Drosophila melanogaster: one gene and its partners. The protein of the gene in region 1 purifies or fractionates together with the protein of each later gene. This does not show direct contact. Each region holds a gene or a part of one and is shown on either strand. Other genes may lie near its edges. The genes, in order: ATPsynO, ATPsyndelta, ATPsynE and ATPsynF.

Evidence for each region.
Region 2: the proteins of ATPsynO (region 1) and ATPsyndelta purify together in Drosophila melanogaster (affinity purification with mass spectrometry; 2 studies listed by BioGRID, with this or other methods). This does not show direct contact.
Region 3: the proteins of ATPsynO (region 1) and ATPsynE purify together in Drosophila melanogaster (affinity purification with mass spectrometry; 2 studies listed by BioGRID, with this or other methods). This does not show direct contact.
Region 4: the proteins of ATPsynO (region 1) and ATPsynF purify together in Drosophila melanogaster (affinity purification with mass spectrometry; 2 studies listed by BioGRID, with this or other methods). This does not show direct contact.

Annotation. Positions count from the first base shown.
Region 1 is NT_033777.3:15,264,067-15,267,232, reverse strand, and holds ATPsynO (ATP synthase, oligomycin sensitivity conferring protein), read right to left. Parts: upstream 1,643-3,166; 5' UTR 1,573-1,642; coding exon 1,543-1,572; intron 1,307-1,542; coding exon 863-1,306; intron 801-862; coding exon 645-800; 3' UTR 543-644; downstream 1-542. Other genes in the region: CG14864 (uncharacterized protein), read left to right, coding at 1-504; Set, read right to left, coding at 2,204-2,214, 2,278-2,628, 2,691-2,880. UniProt on the Drosophila melanogaster protein: Mitochondrial membrane ATP synthase (F(1)F(0) ATP synthase or Complex V) produces ATP from ADP in the presence of a proton gradient across the membrane which is generated by electron transport complexes of the respiratory chain.
Region 2 is NC_004354.4:10,211,064-10,217,928, forward strand, and holds ATPsyndelta (ATP synthase, delta subunit), read left to right. Parts: upstream 1-1,906; 5' UTR 1,907-2,011; intron 2,012-2,217; 5' UTR 2,218-2,223; coding exon 2,224-2,422; intron 2,423-2,496; coding exon 2,497-2,708; intron 2,709-3,035; coding exon 3,036-3,098; 3' UTR 3,099-3,933; coding exon of another isoform or gene 3,934-5,058; 3' UTR 5,059-5,485; coding exon of another isoform or gene 5,486-5,491; 3' UTR 5,492-6,330; downstream 6,331-6,865. Other genes in the region: CG2962 (uncharacterized protein), read right to left, coding at 3,934-5,058, 5,486-5,491.
Region 3 is NT_033777.3:14,325,233-14,328,235, forward strand, and holds ATPsynE (ATP synthase, subunit E), read left to right. Parts: upstream 1-1,714; 5' UTR 1,715-1,895; exon of another isoform or gene 1,896-1,951; intron 1,952-2,020; 5' UTR 2,021-2,058; coding exon 2,059-2,304; 3' UTR 2,305-2,503; downstream 2,504-3,003. Other genes in the region: Afti (aftiphilin), read right to left, coding at 1-846, 905-1,049; spn-B (spindle B), read left to right, coding at 2,979-3,003.
Region 4 is NT_033778.4:24,598,540-24,601,378, reverse strand, and holds ATPsynF (ATP synthase, subunit F), read left to right. Parts: upstream 1-1,557; 5' UTR 1,558-1,612; exon of another isoform or gene 1,613-1,679; 5' UTR 1,680-1,683; coding exon 1,684-1,762; intron 1,763-1,881; coding exon 1,882-2,126; 3' UTR 2,127-2,287; downstream 2,288-2,839. Other genes in the region: CG3548 (uncharacterized protein), read right to left, coding at 1-270, 399-918, 994-1,331; CG13587 (uncharacterized protein), read right to left, coding at 2,288-2,480, 2,546-2,839. UniProt on the Drosophila melanogaster protein: Mitochondrial membrane ATP synthase (F(1)F(0) ATP synthase or Complex V) produces ATP from ADP in the presence of a proton gradient across the membrane which is generated by electron transport complexes of the respiratory chain.

The DNA of each region.
Region 1 (3,166 bases):
CGGAATAATGACTATGAAGATGGGTGCTGCTCTCCGGCGAAGCAACGTCCCATGGCGCCGCCTCCAGAGATTTGCGTTCAAGAGTCCGATCTGACCGAAAATGATGAGCGAGCTGTGTTCCCGGAAATCGACAAGCCCAATTACAGAGTTTGTCGATCCTCGAACGAGACCAATGTTCTGGTCCTGGAGGAGAGTCCTTTGAATGATTGCAGCCCCAACCCAGGGCAGGATGCGAGTACACTAGATAGCAAGACGAAGAGTAATTTTGATGCTCAACAAAACGCCAACGATAATAAAGAGCAACATAATAGTTTTCTAATCAACTGGCTTGAGTCCCCGGCCACGAGTAACTTCACCAAGGTTCTGGAACTGCAGAGATCTCGCATCAAGGAGCTGGAGAATCTGCTGGAGCAGCACAGCCTTCTGCAGCAGACAATCCAGCACAAGGTTGCGGAGCTGCAGTGCACAGATATACCGGATCCTAAAAATATATCTAAATCATAAACCAAATCTAGTGCGCATATCTCTGAATAAATTTTGTTGGTTTTCAAAGGGTGAAGAGTGTTTTATTCGCTATTACCGCTTGAATTCCAATACCAAACTTTCAGTTTGACCATCTAAATCAAGAGCAAATCCTTAAGAGTCTAGGCAGCGGTCTGGATGACATCGGTGTAGAGCTTGACCTTAGTGGCAATGCTCATGTCGACGTACTTGTCGCCAATGGAAACGATCAGGCCACCAATGATGCTGGGGTCCACGCGGGAAGTGATCTTCAGAGACTCGTTGCCCTTCAGGAAAGACTGCAAAGCAAATGAGCAATAAATTGAGTGGGTGAGACAAGACAGAAGCTAGGCGTAGCTACCTTAAGGGCACCCTCCAGCTGCTTGCTCTGGGACGCATCCAAGGGCTTGGCGGTGACCACCTCGCAGACGACCTCACCGCGATGTGCGGCCATGATGGTCTTGTAGGCATTGATCACGGTGTCCAGCTTCTTTAGACGTCCGTTGTCAGCCAGCAGACCCAACAGATTGACGGTGGCCGGGGCGAAGCGGAGCTTCTCGGATGCCTCCTTCAGAGCGGTGGCCATGACCTTCTTGTTGATGATGGGGCTGGTCACGTACTCGCGCAGCTTCTTGTCGCTACGGATGGTGGCCTGCAGGGCCGTCAGATCCTTCTCCACCTGATCCAACTGGCTCAACTTGGAGGCAGCCGAATACAGGGCGGTAGCATAGCGACCCTCCAGACCGAACACCTGCACTGGTGGCTTCACCGTCGCCTGGGCGGCAGCGGAGCTGAGGGTGCGGCTCTGCGGGATAAGCAAACAAGAGCACTTGGTAAGTTTTTCGGCTTATTAAACATAAACTACCCGCGGTTCGTGGGTTAAGATGGGCAAAAATTACATAACCAAGAAACGCGCGTTAGATAATTCTACATATGCGACAGCGGGTTGCAAACGCAATAAAAATTTGACATGCACTTAAAATGGCTTGGCATTGACCGGAGCTTGTTCACTTTTTTCTATTTATTCGCATTATAACATACCAAAAGTGCCAATTTGTTAATAGAGGCCATCGTTTTTATCCCGACAATTTTTCAGCTAAAAATCTCAGCTGTGACCAGGGCTACGTTACTTGCTACTCGACGTGTGGCAGGGTTGTTTTGAATGGCGTAAGGGTTGCAGGACAGTTATCGATTACAAAAAATAGCTAGATTTTAAGATTTATACTAGCTAGTTAAATAAAAGCGAATTTTCATTTTAAAAATGATATTCTGACTTTAAAGTAATTCTTAAAGGATATATTAAAAGATAGGTATTTCTGGGTACCCAAAATCTACCTTAATAGTAACACCTCTAATTTGCTATTAAATAATTAATTAATTAATAAATATTAATTAATAAAGTAATAAATTATTTTATAAACATCGAATTGAATACTTTGGTAATTCTTTACTTACATAAAAAGACACGGCTTGAGATTCGATTTACGTCTTTTTATTTGTTTTAAATTAATTTAATGGTGATTCTCATTTTCTGCTGCTCTTTAATGGATGTATGACTTTTGCTTATTTCGAAACCTAAATATGTCCTTAAATCGTTGCGAATATGTAAATGTTGCATAACCATCGGGAAAACTATAGTTGCCAGTGGTTATAAACAATGTGGGCCTTCGGTTGCGAGCGATTTGAAATTGCATTAATCAGTTTACTTGTCATCTAAAATGGTTGGTTAGGTGGTTAGTAAATTCCTTCTGTTCAAAAGGCACTCCATTAGCTTACCCTCATCCTCTTCCTCTTCCTCGCCTTCTCCATCCTCACCGTCCTCGTCGTCAAATGCCTCCTCATCATTATCTTCGTTGTCCTCCTCGTCCTCGGGCTCCACCTCGATATCAGGTACCAGATAATACTGCAGTGGATTTGGCCAAAGGTCGTCTTTTATCAGTTCTGCGATCTCGTCGTTGACGGGATCGGTGTTATCCGAGAACCAATCGAAGAAGGTTTTGTATTCGGAGTTGCGCTTCTTCTTGTTTCCGTACGGCTTTGTCAGCAAAAGTTTTAGCAGGTTCTTTCCCTCCTTCCATTTGATGGGCGTGCTGGTAGACGCGGGCCAGTCTCCGTTCTCGGAAGCAGCTTTAATTGAAATAGTAATGGGTTAGCTAAGCGGATTTGAATCAATCGTTGGGAGAACTTACCCGCTGAATTCAGGTGGAACTCTTTGGTGAGCACCTTGTTTTCGAAGTAAGGATTCTCGTCGAAATGGAAGTTGATGCGGTAACCCGATTTGATGTCCTCAAACTCCTCAACCTCAAGTTTGTTGAGCGCGTGCAGGCACTCCTCCTCCTCCTCGTCCAGAATGCCGGATACTTGCGGGTGGTTGATAAACTGCAAATATGGCAGTTGGGATTAGCTAGGGGATGCATGCTATCAAGCAGAAAGCCATGTTTATGGCCCCTATGGCACTACTTTTCTTTTCAATTATGGCAGCAAATATTTCAGTGGTTTTTGATTTGAAGCCATTTTGAACTGTGCTATGTTGTGTATTTCCCGGCCAGACGGATATATCGATAGCACGATTTTTCCGGGAGGGGGAAAATGCGCGGGGAGCCGGTGGTGTCGGCATTGCAGCCCAAAGATGAACAAGAAAAAATGCCTCGAATAGAGAAAATTT
Region 2 (6,865 bases), on another chromosome or scaffold:
CCAAAAAGTCAACTTTTGCGTTGTTTCTCACCGCTTGCTATGTATTTGTTTTTATTTGACCAGAAGGTAGGGTATTGTTTGGGGCATTGGTTCCAAAAAACAAAACGAACTAATTAGAAAACAAATTTTAAAACGCAAGTAGAATGTCATTTACTTCACTAAGCTGAACATTACTTTTGAGAATTATTATGGGTTTTTAATTATTTGTTTTATTCTTAATTAGTTGAGATTGACAACTAATCATAAAGATCGGATGACAAGAAAACCTACATATAATTTTGCCTGAATCAGATAGTACGAAGGGTATACACTTTTCGAAGTATCTAAAAGTACCGTAACAAAAAACAAAAGGAGCAGAAGATGAAAGCGAAGAAGCAAAAAGAGGAGCAACGACCCAACATTGTTGTTGTCTTATGCCGCTGCTTCTTTGCGATGTTGCCGTTCCGCTCGCACCGCTATAGCTTGGGGTCAATAGCTAAGGATCGGATCTGTTGTATATATGTTTATATAGACCGATTGCGGTTAGTTCTCTTATCAGAAATAACATGAAATATATTGCGTTGCGACGCCACTGGCGACCGCGACGCAGGCAGAGGGCAAGACAGCGGAGAAGAGAGTGAGTGAGAGTGTGACGGCGGAGAGAGAGGTAAACAAAAATACACAAACACATACACATGCGCGCTACAGCTGCTCGTTCACATGTGTATGCGGGCCTGTATGTGTGCAACAAACAAAAAGCAGAAAATCCTTCTCTTCTTCACACCCTTTTTCCACAACAAAGTCAGCTGTGTGTGTGAGGAATGAACTTTAAGGCAAGCTTTCTGTTTCTATTTTTTGCAGAGTTTTTCCAACTGAAAGGCGCAATTTGCTAAGACACCTATACACATACACGAAGAGCCAAGCAAAATAGAAGATATAACAAAACAAAATAGAAAATAAGCAGAGCGAAAAATATATAGACAGCTATCTATGCACACAAACACAAACATGGGGAAACACTGTTGTTTTTCGCAACTGCGTTTCGCCTGCAGGTGCGACAGAGAGGGCGCGAGTGGGTGACAAACTTGGGTAAATGTTGCAAGCACTTACGTCCTGTGTGTTTTGTTTGTTTGTTTGTTTGCTTGTCGCCTTTCGCTGTCGTTCGCCAACAAACACCTCAGCGCAGAGCACACACGCGACACGCACACACTCACACACAGTCACAGAGACGTGCACAAATAGCAGCCGAAAATGGCACTCTCTTCTTCTTCACTTGTATAATAATGCAGCAATCTGCATTGTTTCGTTTCTATTTCCAATTGGAATTTGTTGTTGTGCTGCCTGTGCCAGTGTGACCAGGTAGCGCGGTGGCTAAAAATAGTCGCTAACGCCAGTTTTGAATGTTGCGCGGGTAAAAGATTCGTGAGATACGAAAAAACTCCGAACTTTAATAAAAGGATCTAATAAAAAAGGAAATACTGAAAAAGAAACTAAACAAAATCAAAAACACCAGATTCATAACAGTATAAATGGTCGCATGGTTATGCCATGTAAACACACCGTTATTAATCAAAGTCTTAATCTAATAAAGGAAATTTCATTTTTTAAATTATAATTTTTGGAATAAATAGTTTTTCTTTTAATATCATTTTTAATGTACGATCAAAAGCAATATACAAAAAATTTAAGCTTTTAATTGGCGATGCCAGACTAATGAATTAAAAGAATAAGTGTTGCCACTAAAAGTTTATTGGTCTATATAATTTGTTTATTGATTGAGGCACTTTATTATTATAATTAAAACACTTAATTATTATGTGTGAAATGATTGCACTTTTTATTTTGTAAGAGCCTGTTGCGTATTGAAAATTTTGTATTTTGTCTTGTCCTCTAAATATCGTAAAAACGCGTTATTGCTAGATAAGTTTTGTATTCCCGGCTGGTCACTCTGACTTAAACGTTTTTCGCAAAAACAGCGGCTGATCACTGAAGTTTTCTCGTGTTTTTCGCTATCAAACCGAAATAAAAACAGGTGAAAATAACTGATAAATTGAGGGGTAGTCCACTGATCACAGTGCCCGAGGATTTGCAATGAAAAGCGATCGAAATTTGAGCTGGGGAAACGCAATAGCAGCCGCCGCCTAACCTACAAAGTTACATAATTTGGTTATTTTGTTGTTATGCTGGCTGGCTGTGGCAGAAAAGACTTTTAATCCTGAATTTATCCTCTCGTTGCAGCCCAAAATGTCCTTCGTTAAGAACGCCCGTTTGCTGGCCGCCCGCGGCGCTCGCTTGGCCCAGAACCGCAGCTACTCGGATGAGATGAAGCTGACCTTCGCCGCCGCCAACAAAACCTTCTACGATGCCGCTGTGGTGCGCCAAATCGATGTGCCTTCCTTCTCGGGATCCTTCGGCATCCTGGCCAAGCACGTGCCCACTCTGGGTAAGTTCGATCATTCAGTTTCAGTTGCCTCGAGATGGTTATATCACCGTTGGCGAATCTCTTTGCTATTGCAGCTGTCCTGAAGCCCGGCGTTGTCCAGGTGGTGGAAAACGATGGCAAGACCCTCAAGTTCTTCGTCTCCAGCGGTTCCGTCACCGTCAACGAGGATTCCTCCGTTCAGGTTCTGGCCGAGGAGGCCCACAACATCGAGGACATCGATGCCAATGAGGCGCGCCAGCTGCTCGCGAAATACCAGTCACAGCTTAGCTCCGCTGGCGACGACAAGGTGCGAATCTAGTCAAGAAGTTGCATAGTAGAGTAGTGTCTAGAAAGTAGAAGTAGTGGTCCAGAAAGTACAACTCAAACAGACTCTTTTGATGGAAACACTGCTTCCACCATTCACGCCAACTGGCATTTAAGTTACTAAACGATTTCTATGTGCCCATCCTTTTTACTTGATATACTTTCTTTGTACAAACAAGTTTGCTCTTAAATTAACGCTTACACATTCGATATTTCCATGAGTAAACTTATGTTTGAGTTGCTTTTGCATTCTGTATTGCACATTCTGAAGCTATCTAAACGAGACTTAACCACGATCCTTGTTTTGCAGGCCAAGGCCCAGGCTGCCATTGCCGTGGAGGTCGCCGAAGCGTTAGTCAAGGCTGCCGAATAGACGTAATCACCACACAACCGCCACCAATAAACCACAATCGATGCTTTGTGTCTGAAATAAATAAAAAACATAACGATCACCTTAAAAAGCCAGAGAGTTATGAAACAATAAAAAAGCGAATCATAATATCGTATTAATGACCCGTGATCCACCAGGCAAATGATTTTTTTTTCTTTTTTTTTTCATGTTATGCCGCTAAACTGTGTGTTTATATAGTTTATAATATATGTATGTGAGCTGGTGAAGAGAAATGTGTAATATTTGCTCGCTGTGGGATAGACCGTTGATATGATAATGCTTTGGCAATCTTTAAGTCAAAAATATGAGTGATTTGCATTTTGGCCGAAAGAGACGAACGTCGTTTCTTTTTCCCTTGCCAATTTATGCAAATCGCATAAGCATAAAAACTTACAATTTGTAAATGAGCTCGTCTTTCATCTTAACAAATAGTATAGTTTGTATTTCATCTGGTGTGTTGCATTCATGGATAGTTCGCATATCTTATCTCGGATGATTGTTTAAATTTCTCTCAAAAGTAGTAATAAAAAGCAACTTTGTTTTTTTTTTATGGAAACAAGAATTAATCAATGGCTAAAATTATACTTTTGGCAGATAGAAGATAATCCATTTTGAAACTCTTTATAAAGATGATAAATACTATAGAATTGAAAAAAGAAAATTGGATTTTTTTTTTTTGGAATTGTCTATGTATTTGGTAACAAAAAAATGTGTTGTAAAAAAAATGTCTTAAATTAACTCATGGCGTTGTGTGGGAATGGTAATATGCTGTCGATGTAGTTAGCAGGAAGGTCCTCCGATAGATTGGCGAATTGTTCTAGTATCCCGGTGGGCCGTAGGTCTGGGCAGGGGCGTGACCGATGGGCAGGGACTGCTCCTCGGGAGCAAAAACGGGTGCAGGAGCGGGATGTGGCACACTCAGGACGGGAGCGGGTGCTGGGGCGGCATAGACTGGAGCTGGGGCAGGAGCGGAGTAAACTGGAGCGGGAGCAGGAGCGGAGTAAGCTGGAGCGGGAGCAGGTGCGGAGTACACTGGAGCGGGAGCAGGAGCAGAGTACACAGGAGCTGGGGCAGGAGCGGAGTACACTGGAGCGGGAGCAGGTGCGGAGTACACAGGAGCGGGAGCAGGAGCAGCATAAACTGGAGCCGGAGCTGGAGCAGCATAAACTGGAGCCGGAGCAGCGATCTCCTGAGGAGGCAGGTAGGAAGCGACTGGAGCAGCCACTGGTGCGGGCACATCGATGGGGGCATAGGCTGGACCGGCAGCTGGAGCGGAGTGCTCATGGATCACACGCACCACCTTGGTGGCTCCACCCGAAGAGTAACCACCGGAGGAGTAGCCACCCGACGAGTAGCCACCCGACGAGATGCCGCTGTCGTGGCTCTCGTGAACGACCTTGATGACCTGGGACACGGCACCGCCGCCAACCGAAGAGCCGCCGATGAAGGATGGTCCAGCCACGGGTCCAGATGCCACATTCACCACCTTGACAATCTGCGGAGCGCTCTCGACCAGCGGGGCACTCACAATGGGTGCGGATTCCTGCAGGATCTTGATCACCTTGACGGAGGAGGGGGCGGGCCCAGCTGGAGGCAGATAAGCGGGTCCAGGAGCGGGTCCATAGCCACCGCCGCTGCCGCCAGAGATGACCTTCACCTTGAAGATCTGGGGAGCCGCCTCGTAGCCATAGCCGCTGCCATAGCTAGCGCCGGAGGAGTAGCCAACGCCGCCCTGCTGATGGATCACCTTGACCACCTGGACTGGGCCACTGGGTCCATGGCCGCCATAGCCGCGAGCGCCACTACCACCGCCGCCGCCTCCGTTGCCACCACCGCCTCCGAGGTTAAGGCCGCCACCACCGCCTCCACCGCCGCCACCGCCGAGGAGTCCCAGGAAGCCAGCGTTGGCCACAGCGAACAGAGCACACATGCAAACGAAGACCTGGAAGGATGGCAGAGTATAAGAAGCGATTTAGTTTCATGTTTCATGTTGCATCCTTAGAGGATTTTAAAGAATATATAAAGTTCATTAAGTTTTTGTTATGTTTTCCAATTAGAAAGTAGAGTTTTATCGCTGGTTTTTTTTTCTATATCTTTAAAGGATCTTTGATCTTCATAGACTGTATTTTCCAAATGGATATACTTTGTATTCATTCTTTGTTTAAATATTTTCATTTTCAATCTTCTGATATTCTTCAGCACACTTTGTATTTGAATATTAACTATCACTTCTTCGAAAGTTCGAAAGAATTTAAACTGAGCTCAGGATGCTCTTGCCACTTTGTCACTTTTCAAATCAGTTTGGATAAATAAAAAAAAAAAAACTAGAAGAGGATATTTGCCGGCACAGGACATTGTGAGCAGCTCACCTTCATGCTGACTACTAATCCACTTGATGCGATGATACCAATTCCAAAAAAAAAAAAACGCCTTGAGTGCCGATGAGCAAGCGACTGATGTCCGATCGATTGGAGACCAAGTCTTTTATACGATATAAGCCAGCAAGGGCGAACAAAAGGCGTTTCATTAACATTTCCAAACTGCCCATCAACGCCATCATCATCATCGCCACGATGATGAGCAGCATCATGATGATGGGCTTTCGTTTTCATTTCGATTTTCACCAAATGCTGCTGGACGCACCCAAAAGTGCCAATCGTCGTGGTTGGTTCTTCCATAGCCAGTTGGATTCGGAGCTACCAGCTACCAGCTACCAGCTACCAGCTACCAGCTACCAGCTACCAGTTTCAGTTTCATCAAGTCTTACGCTGCATTTCCCAAATTCCGAATGGGGATCCCACAATTAGCATGAAAATGAGACGCTACGTTAGTGATAAGCTCGGAATGGGGCTTTCATATTTCGTATTTTTTTTTTTATTCGGCATCTTATGTTTTATGGTTTAGGTTTTCGTTTTCATTTTGATTTTGATTTCGATTTGGATTTTGGATTTTGGTCAATTCAATTTGCATACACGGGCGTGCTGCAAAGCGGTTGCCTCACAAGGCGGCCGGCAGTCTGTCATAAACCAAAGCGAAAACCTAACCCAACCCAACCCAATCCAATCCAATCGAAACCAAACCAACCCATTCCATTTCACCTCATCCGGCAATTTCAAGGTGAATCTGAATCGGAATCTGTTGTCAAGCCGAACCATCTCATTGATGGTGGCTATATTCCATCTATATGCAGGTATTTATAAAACGAGCCGATTATTATGCAAGCCACCAGTCGCATCTTCGAGCCATGTAAAACGCATTATGTTGGCCCAATAGGCCAAAGATGTTGTAAAATTGGCCAACGGTTCGGATCAGTGATATCTGTTGGCGCATTTTAAATAGCCACTAAGTATTACATACTTACAACAATAAACATATGTTTATTTACACAAATATTCAACATAATCAACTGATGTGCATATATATATATATCCATTTAGAATCATATTTCTACTCAGTTTATAACAATTTTATAAAATACTATCAAATTGTTCAAATTGGTTATGCTTTTCGGTTAAGAAACGTATTAATTTATACCAAAAAAAAAAGAGATTTTCAGTGGGCAGATCAGATTGGTGGGAAATCAAGTAATATCCAAGAAATGGTTGGCTAACCTGCACTCTGCCACTAATCGTGATTATGATCTTGTCGCGGTCTATTATGGTTTGTTAATTGATCCATGCATGGAATGCATCTGTTGAGAAACTACATACATACATACATAAATATCTATATTAGTGCATCTGCAATCT
Region 3 (3,003 bases), 940 kb from region 1:
AGGCAGACGTTGAATTCTCCGTGATTTCTAGTTGGGGTTCTGCTGCTGAGAAATCCGCAAAGTCACCGAAGTCATCATCATCTTCTTGCTCTTGCATTTCGGGAACAATTTCTTTGTGTACTAAGTCTTTTGGCGTCGCATCAAGATTTGTAAATGAATATGTATCACTATTTGCTGGTTCACCCCATTGGTGAGGGGATTCCTCCTGATTTGGAGGATTTGATAAGCCACGGCTTTGATTTTCCATAGGCTTTTCTAAGGTATTTGAACTTTCCTCCTGGGCTTCCAAACTTCTAAAGCTTTCTTCTGGCTGGGAGGTATTCTCTACGTATTCTCCTTTCCCTGTATCCACATTCTCCTCCGAAAAGCCTTCTCCATATGGTAGGGTTGGAGTGGCCAATACCTCTATGGCAAAGAAATCCACAGCTCCCTCGCGTATAAATAGTTCTTTGGGCTTCTTTGGCGAGCACTCCTCGTCGCTGTCATCGGACACATCCTCCAGCGTGACTTGGTGGCTGAGGATATGGGCTTTGGTTGTTTGCATAGCCGGCGGAGCAACTGCACTAGTCTCCGCAACCGGTGAGAGTGTGGAGGCGGCAGAAACGCTTTCCGTGGAATAGAGACTTAGACTGTCCAACTTAAGGGAGGGCACATGCTCCTCCAGTTCCTCATCATCCAGTTCCAAGCTCAACGGAGGCGGCGTCGGCGGTGCTGTTTCCTCGAAAACATCGTAATCCATCTTCTGTTTCACCTGGTAATTAAATGCCTCGACGGTTTGTTTGTCTTCCAGCAAATCAGGTGGCTTTTCTCGAAATTCCTCCACGGGATCTGGTGGTGGAGGGGGTTCTAAAAAGCGAGAATTAACTGAGTATCACTTTGAGATTCGATAAATATCTAAGCTTGCCTTTCGAGCTGCTGACTAAGCCAAAATCTGAGTATTCGTCACCCTCGTCCAAATGGATGGTGGATTGTAAACCGGAATCGTCGTCTTCCTCACCAAAATCGATGGGCGGGGGGGTGCTGCAGAGCAGCGGTGGTACATTCACCATAATGCCAGCTGCAAAATTCAGTAAAAGGATCCCCTAAAATTCACTTCCTGCTTCAAGAAGAACAACAAAAACGCTGGGAACGGTTCGATCTTCTATCTCTCTCGCTCCACTTTATCACTGTGTGTGTGGTGTGTATGTGTGACGCAGGTGTGGAGGGCCTGCAAGTGTGTGTGTGTGTGTTAGCCACTCAAGGTCTGTGTTGGAATTTTCTTGTTTGCATTTAACACGCGTCAATTTTGTTGTGTCTCTGTATTATGTCTAATTGTCGCCTTATTGGTGGCTCTAAAAACAGATTTGCCGAATTTGCAAGTCGCGTTTTATCTGCAATTAGCCATGTTTTCCAGAAAACAATACTTTTTCCTCTGCCCACAGTGTGAACGTTTAACTTTTGGCCAACCGACAGTGCTGAAAAACGTTGCGCAACATTGATAACATACAAAATTTGAATCTTATCTTTTTCAATTCCCATTTTCGATTTAAATCATTATCCATAGTTCAGATAGAATAGTTATATTAGTTATATTTCTATAATAGATTTTTATTCTTTCCAATTCTTTTACCGTTAAAATTGTATTTGAAAATTATTAGTAACAAGAGTAAAATATACATGAAAGTCTAGGCTGCAGTATGTAATACGTCAAATTTTGTTGGGACACTAAACAACAAATAGTCGTCATAAAGGCTTCTTTTAAATTGTTATGATATTTTCCACAATTTCTGCATACTTTTTTAAGCTTGCTGGCAACGCCGCCACCGTACCAATACAACTATCGATAGCCGCCTGTCAGTTTTGACAGCTGTTTTAAGGTTATACTGCGCTGCCGTTGCAATCGCTCCACCAATTTGGTAATTTTGCTTATTTAACATCAAATATTGCATAAAACTAGGAAAACCAGGAATCTGTAAAGTGGAGCGAGACGGGGAACGCTATTAAGGAAGTCGGATAACTAAAGTACATCCTTTTCTTGCAGTTCACGGTCGGACAATTACATAACTTGAAGAAGAAACCATGTCGCAGGCTCCCGTTCGCGTTTCCCCGCTGATCAAGTTCGGCAGATGGTCCCTGCTCCTGGTGGGCATTGCCTACGGCGCCGCCCACCAGAGCCGCCTGTCCAAGAAGGAGGAGAAGTTGCGCGAGATCGAGGCACAGCAGAAGGCCGTCCGTGATGCCAAGCTCGCCGAGGAGAAGAAGCGCAGCGCAGAGGCTGAGGCCCGTGCCTTGGCTGAGCTTTCGAAGCCCACTCCCAAGCACTAGGATCCTTCAGGATGCAACATCCGCAGTTCCCTTAGCTTAAAAACATTGAAAAACCACAACATTTACACACGAAGTTCGCCCAAAAGGAGGAGCATCATCGATAGTGGAGCCACCATCTATCGATCACTGACTATCGTTTTTGTGTTTTCCTCTGATGCTTGTGCAAAAAACAGAATGTTCGAAATTAAATGATTGAAACAAAACCATTATGTAAATACTCTCAAGTGTTTCGTGTTTGTGATTAAGTGGTGTTCACTGGAAATATATTTATATTAGCATAGTGTTTGGATAGGAGAGGATTGAGAGAATTTGAGAGGGTTTGAGCTCCAAATTTGACTAGGAAGTACATATAAATATTTTTGCAAATTGATTATCAATAATTTTCCTAAATTTTGTTTTAAATCTTTTTTGATAAACAACAACTGATAGTTTACCTTATTGGATGCCCACTGTAGTTGCCAGCTGATTGGCCCACTTAAGATATTGGCGCCAACAGCTGATTTCAACCGGCGTTTATTTACACTTTCAATTCGCTCGCAAGTCGTCGCATGGCTCGGCTGTTTGATCAATAATCCCCCGGAATACTTCCAATTCCGGAGGTGTTGAGACACCTTTCGTGTTTCGGGGAGCCATTATATCACGCAATCCCATCGAGGACATGCCATCGCATCGCGATGACAAACTTTCTGGATCAATTGC
Region 4 (2,839 bases), on another chromosome or scaffold:
CTGCTCCTGCCGGTAGTAGGCCATCTTCACCTCCTGCTCCATCTGCTCGAAGCGCAGCTTCTGCTCGTGTTCCCGCCGGGCGTAGTCGATTTCGGCCAGACGGGCCTGCTTGAGCAGCCTAAACAGGTCCTGCTTGTACTTCTGCTCTATCTCCGTGGCGGCGACCAAATCTAAGGACTGGCTATTTGTGTCTGCAACTGGGGTGGCGCTCGGAGCTGCGTTGGTGGAGGCTTCGTTCTCGTCGGACAGCAGCGACTGGGCCTGTGAGAGCTGGTTAACGATGAGATAGTATTATTAGTAAGAAAGATTAAGATTCCCCTTCACAAAAATTTGCAACTTGTTCAGCTAAACCTTAATTAATAATAATAAATAAACTTGCGGCTTGTGTTCAAACTCACATTCCTTTGTCGCCGCTTTCGTGGTGGGCCTACGCCCTTTTCGTTCTCCTCCCCCGTTTCGCCGGACGTTTCTGTCTTGGCGCCCGAGGGCGACTGCTTGGCCTTGGTCCGCTTGCGTCGCTGGGCTGGCAGCTGGGCGGGATTTCCCTCCTGCTGGGAGTCCCCGTCTCCGCCAGCAGTGGAGGGCGGCGGCGAGGGGATGGCTATTGTGGAGGTCTGCAGCGTGTCCTCGCTGGCGTTCGTAGAGTTGGGCAGAGCGGCCAGCGGCATGTCTTCGTCCTCGTCGATGTCCATGAGCTCCTTCTTAAGAGCGCCGTTTGTGTTCGCGCTGCGTGTCTGACTGCGCGAGGTGACCGGATCCTTCTGCATCTCCTCCAGGAACTCGATCATCCGCATGCCTTCCAGGGCCTCCGTTTTCGGATGCTTCTGCTGGTGCTCCCGCTTGGCGGAGTTCTTCATGCTGCGCCACTGCACCTGGATCTGCTCCAGCAGGCGATGGCGGAAGTTAAGGGCATTGAACCTGGATGGGGGGTTGGAATGGAAGGAGTGAAGGGCCATTATAAGACGAGCTCCACTGCCCAATGGCGCAACTTACTGCTTGGTGATCTGCGACCAGGCCAGACGCTTGGCCTTTATGCTCTTGGCGTCCACGCTCCGGTTCTCCACGAAGGCCACCTTGGACTTGATGACCTCAAGGAGCAGCCCCCTTTCCGCCTCCTCCCAGTTAAGGGAGCGTTTCTTGCGCGTGCCCTTCTTCTTGCCACCCGCGCCTTCCTTCTCGCCAGCATCCTCGGCCGCATCCTCCGCGTTCTCCGCCCCCTCGTCCGCGGTGGCGCTGCTTGACTTCTGCGGCTTCAGCTCCACCTTCTCGTCCTCGTCGTCGTCCTCCGGCGGAGAGGAGGCTCCCTTGGTCAGCAACTCCTCCAGTTTCATTGTTTTTGTTTACACACTGGATTCGCTTTGGCTGGATTCTGATTCGAATGCCCAGGCTTGCAAAAATCCTATTTGATTTCTGTATATACTGGAGCTTAGTGATGTGAGAAGTGCATCGTGCATCGGGCATCGATATATTCGCTGTATCGATGACGTAGCGAATACATCCTCCCTGTTAGCGGAGACGCACACAATAAATTCGCACATAGTATATTTCGGTATATTGGTCGATGAAAATCCCAGCTCTCGCCGCTTTGGTCATACTGTCAGTATCGAAGGAAGTAAGTAGCAGGCGTAATTTTATGTTTCATAAGAATCCGATTTAAGAATATATCTCAACCAAACCAGCGCGATGGCATTCGGTGACTATCCAGCTGAGTACAACCCCAAGGTGCACGGGCCCTACGACCCCGCTCGCTTCTACGGCAAAGGTGAGCAGGTTACGTAATTTTTGCGGCAGGCACAGAGCACATTTGCACTGCCCAAAAATGTGCAGCGTTTTACATAATTTAAACAACTTTCCGACCTCTCCGCTCTCTCCGATCCGCAGCCGATGTGCCCTTCGGCCAGGTCAAGCTGGGCGAGATCGGCGCCTGGCTGGGACGCCGCAACAAGACCCCCAACGCTGTGGCCGGAGCTGTGAGCCGTGCCTGGTGGCGCTGGCAGCACAAGTACGTGTTCCCAAAGCGCGCCGGGATCGCTCCCTTCTTCCAGCTGACCGTCGCCAGCATGACGTTCTTCTATCTGATTAACTACACCAAGTTGAAGCACCACAGGAACTACAAGTACCACTAAGCGGCGCTGCCCGGTGGTCCTGCATCTGCAACAGATTCTACACTTTCCACAAGGCGTGCGAGAGGCGGGCAATCACCACTAAACTATATCTATTTGGCTTTTGTGTTTTGAAAACTGCTTAAGTGAATAAAACGGCTGCGAATATCCATGCTGCCATAGACTCAGACTCGGTCTCTTCCGCACTCGAAGACTGCATTTGGGCCGATGTCCAGCTCGGAACTGGACTGCTCCCAGCCGAAAGTTGACCGGGCCGTGTGGATTTCGCAGATAAAGGGCAGCTCCCGGTCGCAGTTCAGGGTTTGCCAGGTTCCCTGCGGCGTCAAGGCCACGCAGCTGGCGTTGCCCAGATCACCACTGCAAATTCGGTTAGATTTAGAGAAGATAGCATTGGCGGCTAACCTAATAAACTGTCAGCCTACCCAACTCGAGGATGACCACCATCCCAGGCTCTGTAAAGAAAGCACTGCAAGCTCTCCCCTTGGGAGTTCCTGAAGTCCAGTGGGCTCAATGACGTTGAGCTGTTGTAGGCCAAACCCACATAGGCCAGATAGACATTACCTTCTGCCAGAGACTGTGATTTCCTGTTGAATTCCACTAGCCATTGGGCCAATAAACTGGTTCTGTGTTCGGATGCGATGTGGGCCAGACTACCAGTGAACTCCGAGGAGTTTGAACAGGTCAGTGAGGCATTCAAGTAGGCACTAGGCTGAGTA